2 linked regions of the Oryzias latipes genome follow. The protein of the gene in region 1 interacts with the protein of each later gene in a biochemical or structural test. Links are inferred from orthologs where the notes say so. Each region holds a gene or a part of one and is shown in the gene's direction. Other genes may lie near its edges. The genes, in order: signal transducer and activator of transcription 1-alpha/beta and mcm5.

Region 1 (4,563 bases):
GAAAATTATTGTGTTTTATGATTTAATAATAGATTTTTCTCTTGTTTTCTGAATTTTCTTTTTTGCAGTGATGGGTTTTCCTCTAATCAATGTTTCTTTAAATTATCCAGAAAACTGCTTTTTTGTTGTTGTTTTTCCTGGAAACAGCTAAAAAAAAAATCACCAGTCTTTCCTCAATATTTGAACTGTGAAAATAAATAGTTTATTACTTACTTTATTATGCACCTCAAGAAAGCTCCGAAAAGATATTAAAGATATTAACCAAAAATGAACTAATCTTGTAACCTTTTCAGTGACACTTACACATGGCTTGTGTGAACGTAGCATAAGAGAGGAACACCGATTTGACCACATGGCTGTTGAAGCCCAAATTGACTTCCCCGGGTTCTGATTCAGAGTCAGAAGGATCCTATAGTTGAAGGTTAGAATAATAAGACTTCACACCCTGAAACTTTGGTTCGCCTTTGCAAAGGGAGAATTCCAGCACAGCTGCTCACATCTGCTCCTCACACAGACTGTGCTAAAACTCTGCTTTCCCCTTGTCGGACAGCTCTTTTTATTGATCCACACATAATGTATGCATAACTTACATCCTGCTCAGTTATTTTTAACAAAGCCTCCAGGTTAACTCACCTTTCTCTTTTGACCTTTGTCACTCTTTATTTCCTCTTTTGATCTTTGTCTGAAGCTCCCTTAACCACATCCTGCACATCCTCCAGGTTCACATTCTAACCTTTGTCACCCTTCACTTGAAGTCACAAGTTATCATACACCTGTCTCATGTTTGCTTGACTCACATATAAAACATTAATATACTTTTAATTATAATTCCCACATGTCATAGTGGTGTCGGTGTTTGTTTTGTTGCTTCCACATTGGCCAAATACGACATCATACAACCCCTTCATCTTCACAAATTGGCAATTAGGATTAAGGACGGCGATAACTGCAATGGGAAAGGCGAGAATCTAGCAGTCAAGTATCATACATGGGAAAACCAGATTTAAGGACATGTTTTGGGGGGAAAAATGACACAAAATTGCGAGCTACGTAAAAAACAAACAACAAACAGACAGTTGAATAGACATTAAAACTAACTAAATTGGTTGGGTTAAAAACTAAACCTTAAATTCAAAAAGTCAATTATTAACTAAAATCAAAAACAAAACTACAAAATGTGTATGTCAAAAAATAGAAAAAATATTTGTGTATACATGTTATATCAATATTTATAAAACTAAAGCACTACTTTACACTCTAGACTATTTATAGTGTGATATTACATCATTTTCAAAGAGTAAATCAATAAAATACACTAAATGTTATACTTTTATTTAAGTTTCAGTTTTACCCCTTTCTCTTTCTCTGAAAACACGTGATCCCGTCCCGCTGTTCTACTACTTGCGTTCCCTCCCTCCGAAAAAACGATTCTTATCCTGTTTTTAGAACTCGTATGAGGATTTAGAGACTGTGTGCAACCTTCGGGGTCTTCGTAAACATAAATTAGTCGTAAAAATATAATCCTTCGGTCATTTTTGACCAAATAAAGTGATAATTCCTTCTGTTTAAGCGTTGTGAAAAGTTAGTGTTGTAACTCAAGGAACAGCCTCGTGGACTGTTTTCTGATTGGCTACAAAGAAGACGGAGGCGGGAAGGCGCCGGACGTTCTGAGCTGTGATTGGTCTGACCGTCCATCGACGGAAGCGGCGTGTCTCTGCCTGCCAGGCTCCTTTCCTCAACATTGGGAAAAGGAAAAACTGCTCAAATACAGCAGAATTGTCTGAAAACGGAACCAACCTTTAGCTGTGAAAGGTAAGTTTGGCACCGCGTTTGACCGACTGTGTGTCGCCATCTTTGTCTGCCCGTTTAGTTTAGTTGCAACAACAACCTGAACACGGCTAAAGCTAGTGATAAACTTTAGGAGAAAACTCCATAAAAAGCACATAAATAATGCAGTTGTGACCCTTTAAATCTTCACATGTTTACCAAGTAGCTGTCGTTTGTGCTAACGCTTTAACATATAGGCGCGACGCGGGACAAAACAAAAGATAATGAGAGAAAAATGCATAAAATAATAACAAGTTTGGTGTTTTTTGTAGTGCCGCCTTCATGAAAGCTCGTAATAACGGACTCTTCATCCTTGGCAACGTTTTTAACGACGAATTGCGTCACATTTTATGGTTATTACGCGTTGTAATGTGTCTGCAATTTACGAGTATGTAATAAACTATGCATAGACATTAAAGGATGACAATATAGAACAGTAGTGAAAGATTTAAGCTAAAGTAAACAATTTTAGTGACGTTACGTGAAGTGTCTGCAGCGGTGCCACCGTCAATAACTTTATTTAAACAAGTGGGTTAACAAATCTGTGGAAATTTTTTCTAAAAGTAGAACCTGAATGAAAGTTTTTGTTATAAATTATTATTATTTTCTACTGGACGTGAGTCGAGGAGGATTTATGGTGTGAGCTTTTATGATTTGCTATGTCGTAAACTGCAAGAAAAAAAGAAGAAAAAACCCCTGCTTTGACCTTTGACCCCAGAAATGACAGGATTGTCTGAATTTTTTGAATTATTCTATTGTTTATGTGGTTTGTGCAGCCTTCAAAGCCAAACAGGCATTTGTTTGTTTAAATGAAGATTCGGCCACCAAAATGGTGCGATTTCTTCCTTTTTTGAGGTTTCATTTTACGTTTTTTTGTTTTAAAGTCTTTAATGAAAAAAATGCGAATTAATGTAAAAGTGAAAATTTGAAAATGATTAAAAATAGGAACAGAAATGCTGCGAGTATTTCTGATTTACTTTGTCTTAACCTGCAAGCAAAGACCACACCTGCCTTAACCTTTGACTCTAGTAAAGACAGGATTGTCAGAATTCTTTGAAATATTTTCTGTATTTTTGTTTTTGGAGCACAACCACAAAGCAAAAGAAGTATTTGTGTATTTAAATAAAGTTTTGTGATGGCCTAGCCATCAAAATTGTGAAGTTTGGAGAAGTTTCTTCCTTTCTTTTAGTTATTTTTTCCCCCTTTCTTCCTTGGAAATATTTTTAGCAAATTCACATTGAAGTGAAAATTTGAACAGCGTAGTTAGCATCCATGCTAATTCCTGTTTCTTTGGTTTTCTATCAATGTTTTGGTAAATTGTTTGCAGTTCCTGACCTTCCCAGAAGATGGCGCAGTGGGGCCAGCTTCAGATGTTGGACTGTAAGTACCTGGAGCAGGTGGACCAGCTGTACGACGACTCCTTCCCCATGGACATCCGCCAGTACCTGAGCAAGTGGATCGAGAGCATCGACTGGTAATGGCGGGCAGACCGGCGCTCTCCAGCTTTGCGCCTCGGCCCACGCCGCTCACCTGTCCAACCCCTCCCTCCCCCTACAGGGACACGGTGGCGATGCAGGACTCGCTGGCCACCATTCGCTTCCACGACCTGCTGGCTCAGCTGGACGACCAGCACAGCCGCTTTGCGCTGGAGAACAACTTCCTGCTGCAGCACAACATCCGAAAAATCAAAAGGAACCTGCAGGTCCGAGTCCCGCCGACCCCTCCGACACCCGGAAGTCGCCGGCGCCACTTCACCGCTGTTCTCTCCCTTTCCAGGATCGGTTCCAGGAGGATCCGGTCCACATGGCCATGATTATCTCCAGGAACCTGAAAGAGGAGCAGAACATCCTGGCTAAGGCGAAGAGCATGGAGGTGAGGCGTCTTCGCAGACTGCGGCGCCGCTCTGTGGGCCGGCGTGACAAAGGGGTGACAGAGGCGTGTGTTTGTGTAGCAGGAGGGCGAGAGCACGGTGTCCGCCATGGTGGTGGAGAAGCAGAAGCTGGACAACAAAGTGAAGGAGATGAGGGACCGAGTCCAGGTGGGGTTCACACGCCACGCCGCCACTGCAGCCACTGCAGCTCCTGCAGCCGGCGGCGTCTCCTAACCCCGGGGGCTCTCGGTGTTTTCAGATGGTGGACGTGAACATCAAGAACGTGGAGGACCTGCAGGACGAGTACGACTTCAGGGTCAACTCCCTGAAGAATAGAGGTGAGGCGGCGTTCCGGCGTGGACGGGATCGGGAGCGCGGCCTCGCCTTTCATCCCGTCTTTTGTTGGCAGAGAACGAGATGAACGGCATGACAGCGAAGGAGCTGGAGAAGGAGAAGATGGGCATCGCCCGGATGGGCTTCGAGCTGAAATCCAAGCGTCAGGTGAGCCGAGGCGTCGCCGCTGAGAGCCGGCGGGGAGGCCTGGGGGCTCACCCGCTTCCTCCTTCCAGGACGCGGTGATCCAGCTGAGCGACCTCCTCACCGTCATCCACGCCCTCCTGACCGACCTGATCTCCGAGGAGCTGCCGGAGTGGAAGCAGCGGCAGCAGATCGCCTGCATCGGCGGCCCGCCAAACGCCTGCGTGGACCAGCTGCAGAACTGGTGAGAACCCGCCGAGGATCTCCTTCAGCGAGGCGTCCTCCTCCGCCACATCCTCTTCCTCCTCCTCGTCTCGCAGGTTCACGGCCGCGGCGGAGAGCCTCCAGCAGGTCCGCCAGCACCTGAAGAAGCTGCAGGAGTTGGAGCA
Region 2 (4,423 bases), on another chromosome or scaffold:
TCAGCTCAGTACTTTATTTACCCTTTGTTGGCAATGACAGCAGTCAAACATTTTCTGTAAGCTTTCACAGGGTTTACATAATCTTTTACAGTTGTTTTGGCCCATTCCTCCATGCAGATCTCCTCTAGAGCAGTGATGTTTTGGAGCTGTCGCTGGGCATCACAGACTTTCAACTCTCTCCAAAGAACTTTTATGGGGTTGGGACCTGGAGACTGGCTAGACCACTCCAGGACCTTGAAATGTTTCTTACAAAGCCGTTCCTTCATTACCCGGGCAGTGTGTTTGGGATTGGTAAATGGTAAATGGCGTATACTTATATAGCCCTTTTCTACCTTCTTCAAGGCCCAAAGCGCTTTACAGTCACAGACCCATTCACCCAGTCACACACGCATTCACACACTGGTGGCGGCTCTGCTGCTGAAAACTGGCACCAACCTCCCACCAAAGGCAAGGTGGGATTCAGTGTCTTGCCCAAGGTCACTTTGACTGACCATACATGGCCCCATTCATTCTTTCCTTTACACAAATCTGTCGTCCTGGTCCCTTTGCTGAAAAGCAGCCCCAAACATCATGTTTCCACCCCCATGCTTTAGAGTAGGTATGGTGTTCTTTGGATGCAACTCTGCATTCTTTCTCCTCCGAACCGACGAGTAGAGTTCTATCAAAAAGTTCTATTTTGGTTTCATCTGAACATAGGACATTCTCCCAATCCTCTTCTGGATCATCCAAATGCTCTCTAGCAAACTTTGGATGGGCCTGCACATGTACTGGCTTTATCAGAGGGACACGTCTGGCACTGCAGGGTTTGAGTCCCTGGCGTTGTAGTGTGTTTTTGATGGTAGCCTTTGTTACTTTGGCCCCAGCTCTCTGCAGGTCATTCACCAGGTCCCTCATGTGGTTCTGGGATTTTTGCTCACGGGGGAGCCCACGGGGGAGATCTTCTGGGGAGTCATAGATGTCATTTTGTCTCTCATAGTTGATGTATACCTATGATGAAAATTACAGGCCTCTCTCATCTCCAGTGGGAGAACTTGCACAAGGCTGACTAAATACTTTTTTGCCCCACTGAACATATTCAGATCTTATTTTGAAGCAGAACAAAGACAAAAGAGGTGCTAGAAGGCTGAAGCGTCATCCATCAGCAGCTGTAATGTTTTCCTATTAGGTTAACACATTTCACATTTAAGTTGCCTTATCATTGATAAAAATGTAACTTTATGTGGAAAAAGTTGCTTTAATTAACTCAAAATAAACTGTGCTTGCATGGGTTTCACTGTCTCACTTCAAATTCTACATCTAGGAGAAAATGTGTCATTAGGTTTCTCTAAGCTCGTGGCCCTTCTTTGTTATTTTGCTTTTCTGCTGTCGCCATGCTTCAGAAGCTCCTCCTCTTCTGTTTTTCGCGCCATCGCGACTCAGCGCCCCGCCTTCAGCTGAAGAGTTCGCCCATATCTACATGTTCGACAAATAAAGAAAAGCTATGTTTGAACCTGACCAATCAGAGTCTAGGAAAGGGGCGGAACTAGCAGAGAACCCGCGGGAAACAGAAAGGAAGACGCTTCAGTTTTTCCCGCGAAACGTCGTCACAAAGTCGGGTCCTTCCTGTCTGTTTGGCTCCAGAAAAGCACAACTTTTGGTGTCAGCTTCAGCCGCTTCAGCATGTCTGGCTTTGACGACCCCGGCGTTTACTACAGCGACAGCTTCGGCGGGGGAGAGGGACCCGGCGGGGACGAAGGTGGACAGAAGCGGGTCCAGATCAAGAAGCGGTTCCGAGAGTTCCTGCGTCAGTTCAGAGAGGGAACTGACCAAACCGGGTTCACTTACAAATACAGGTCAGGCTCCTTATGAACTCAAAGCGGTTCTCAAATCTGCATCTACTTTCAAAGTAAACGATAAGTGAAGTGGTGCTATATCACGAGGCAGTTGCATTATGGGAAATGTAGTTATATGATTAAAACATCTGCTTTAGAAGCTCAAAAGTCCTGATTGTCTCCTGTTGTTCCGCAGAGATGAGCTGAAGCGACATTACACTTTGGGGGAGTTCTGGTTGGAGGTGGAGGTGGAGGATCTTGCCAGCTTTGATGAAGATCTGTCTGACTGCCTTTACAAACTTCCTACTGAGAACCTGCCGTTGGTGAGTATCCTAGTTCACATTTTTATGCGGTCATGAAAGTCTGACTCACGACTAATGTATAGATAAAACGTATCTCTTAAGCTGGAGGAAGCAGCTAAGGAGGTGGCCGATGAGGTGACCCGACCCCGACCTGTGGGGGAGGAGGCGGTGCAGGACATCCAGGTCATGTTGAAGAGCGATGCCCACCACACATCCATCCGGAACCTGAAGGTACCTTAGGACCCTGCTGTGCCCGACGTTGCAGTCATTCCACACATGGATCACCTTTCTGTGTGTCTTTCCAGTCGGAGCAAGTGTCCCGTCTGGTGAAGGTCCACGGCATCATCATTTCTGCCACAGCAGTCAAGGCGAAGGCCACCAAGGTGTGCCTGCAGTGCCGCGGTTGCCGCAGCGTCATCCCCAACATCCCCCTGCCTCCGGGCCTGCAGGGTTACGCTCTGCCCAGAAAATGCAACAGGTGAGGAATCGCATTCCGGTCTCAGGTTGACCCTGCTAGACGACTCAGCCTCAAAACGACCTTCTGTGTTTTCAGCGAGAATGCTGGCAGAGTGAAGTGTCCCATGGATCCATACTTCATCATCCCGGACCGCTGCGTGTGCGTGGACTTCCAGACGCTCCGCCTGCAGGAGTCTCCCGATGCTGTGCCGCACGGAGAGATGCCGCGCCACCTGCAGCTCTACTGCGACAGGTAGCCATGGAGATCACCGGAGTCTGCTGCTCCGTTGCTTTTGCGGCACGCCACTGAGGTTTTCCTCCGTCCCCAGGTACCTGTGTGACCGCGTGGTCCCGGGCAACCGAGTGACCATCATGGGCATCTACTCTATCAAAAAAATGGCTGCTGTAAAGGCCAAAGGCAAAGAAAAGGGTATCGGCGTGGGAATTCGTTCATCTTACCTGCGAGTCGTTGGCATCCAGGTGGACACGGAAGGAGCAGGTAAAGATCCCGATGACAGGGTTGGTTGTGAGAAGCACATTGTTAGGTTTGGGGGGTCATTTTATCTTCTTGTTTCTTGGCTGCAGGCCGCGGCGCCACCGGACCCGTCTCTGCACAGGAGGAAGAAGAGCTGAGAGCGTTGTCTACCTCTCCCAACATCTACAGCTCCCTGGCGCAGTCCCTCGCTCCCTCCATCTATGGCAGCGACGATCTGAAGAAGGCCATCACCTGTCTGCTGTTTGGAGGCTCGAGAAAGAGGTACGGCGATAGAACGGTTTATTTCTTCATTTTTGTTGCTGCTGCAACGATGTTGTTTTGAAGCTAAGAGTCTGTTCTTGTGTCTGTTAGGTTACCTGACGGTCTCACGCGCAGAGGAGACATCAACCTGCTGATGCTTGGAGACCCTGGAACAGCCAAATCCCAGCTGCTTAAGTTTGTGGAGAGATGCTCACCGATCGGGGTATTTGTTTGTGTTTTTTTTTTTTTTTAATTATCCGGAGGGAAAAAAGTTCTGATGCTGACTCTCACTTGCAGGTTTATACATCAGGTAAGGGCAGCAGTGCAGCTGGGCTGACCGCCTCCGTGCTGAGAGACCCCAGCACTCGTGGATTCATCATGGAGGGAGGGGCTATGGTGCTGGCGGATGGTGGTGTCGTTTGCATTGATGAGTTTGATAAGGTAGGTCCAGGGTGAGCTGGGGGGCAGCATCGGGGTTGCTCGTCCTTCAGGCTGTTTTTCTCCTCAGATGAGAGAAGACGACAGAGTGGCGATCCACGAGGCCATGGAGCAGCAGACCATCTCCATCGCTAAGGTAACCGCCTTAAGTTTGACCTCCTTATTGGGCTTCATTGGAAAAATGCTAATAGTCTGCGGCCTTTAGGCTGGAATCACCACCACCCTGAACTCCCGCTGCTCCGTGCTGGCGGCGGCCAACTCTGTGTATGGCCGCTGGGACGACACCAAAGGCGAGGACAACATCGACTTCATGCCCACCATCCTGTCCCGCTTCGACATGATCTTCATCATCAAGGACCACCACGACCAGCAGCGAGACATGGTGAGAGGACGCGACGGGAGGTTTGATGCTTCAATTCTCTTTAGTGCTTCCGCTGACTTTGCCGCCTGACTCTGCTCGCAGACGCTGGCTCGCCACGTGATGAACGTCCACCTGAGTGCGCAGACGCAGACGGAAGGAGTCGAGGGCGAGATTCCTCTCGCCACCTTTAAGAAATACATCGCCTACGCCAGAGCGTGAGTCACTCATTCTGCAGCCAGACCGCTTTAAAGTTTAGTTTCCTGTGGATTTTGTGGAGTAAAGAGTGTGTTCTGCGTGTTCCCTCACAGTAAATGTGGCC

The links.
Region 2: the proteins of signal transducer and activator of transcription 1-alpha/beta (region 1) and mcm5 form a complex in vitro, tested with the Homo sapiens proteins (2 studies listed by BioGRID). The link is inferred for Oryzias latipes from reciprocal best matches to the Homo sapiens genes STAT1 and MCM5.

What each region holds. Positions count from the first base shown.
Region 1 is NC_019860.2:3,991,339-3,995,901, reverse strand, and holds the start of signal transducer and activator of transcription 1-alpha/beta, read left to right. Parts: upstream 1-1,679; 5' UTR 1,680-1,812; intron 1,813-3,132; exon of another isoform or gene 3,133-3,154; 5' UTR 3,155-3,173; coding exon 3,174-3,301; intron 3,302-3,384; coding exon 3,385-3,529; intron 3,530-3,603; coding exon 3,604-3,699; intron 3,700-3,778; coding exon 3,779-3,865; intron 3,866-3,956; coding exon 3,957-4,035; intron 4,036-4,106; coding exon 4,107-4,198; intron 4,199-4,266; coding exon 4,267-4,418; intron 4,419-4,494; coding exon 4,495-4,563. UniProt on the Homo sapiens protein: Signal transducer and transcription activator that mediates cellular responses to interferons (IFNs), cytokine KITLG/SCF and other cytokines and other growth factors.
Region 2 is NC_019866.2:21,037,892-21,042,314, forward strand, and holds the start of mcm5 (DNA replication licensing factor MCM5), read left to right. Parts: upstream 1-1,505; 5' UTR 1,506-1,659; coding exon 1,660-1,832; intron 1,833-2,007; coding exon 2,008-2,134; intron 2,135-2,215; coding exon 2,216-2,344; intron 2,345-2,418; coding exon 2,419-2,591; intron 2,592-2,666; coding exon 2,667-2,822; intron 2,823-2,898; coding exon 2,899-3,068; intron 3,069-3,154; coding exon 3,155-3,326; intron 3,327-3,416; coding exon 3,417-3,528; intron 3,529-3,602; coding exon 3,603-3,746; intron 3,747-3,813; coding exon 3,814-3,879; intron 3,880-3,948; coding exon 3,949-4,125; intron 4,126-4,206; coding exon 4,207-4,319; intron 4,320-4,412; coding exon 4,413-4,423. UniProt on the Homo sapiens protein: Acts as a component of the MCM2-7 complex (MCM complex) which is the replicative helicase essential for 'once per cell cycle' DNA replication initiation and elongation in eukaryotic cells.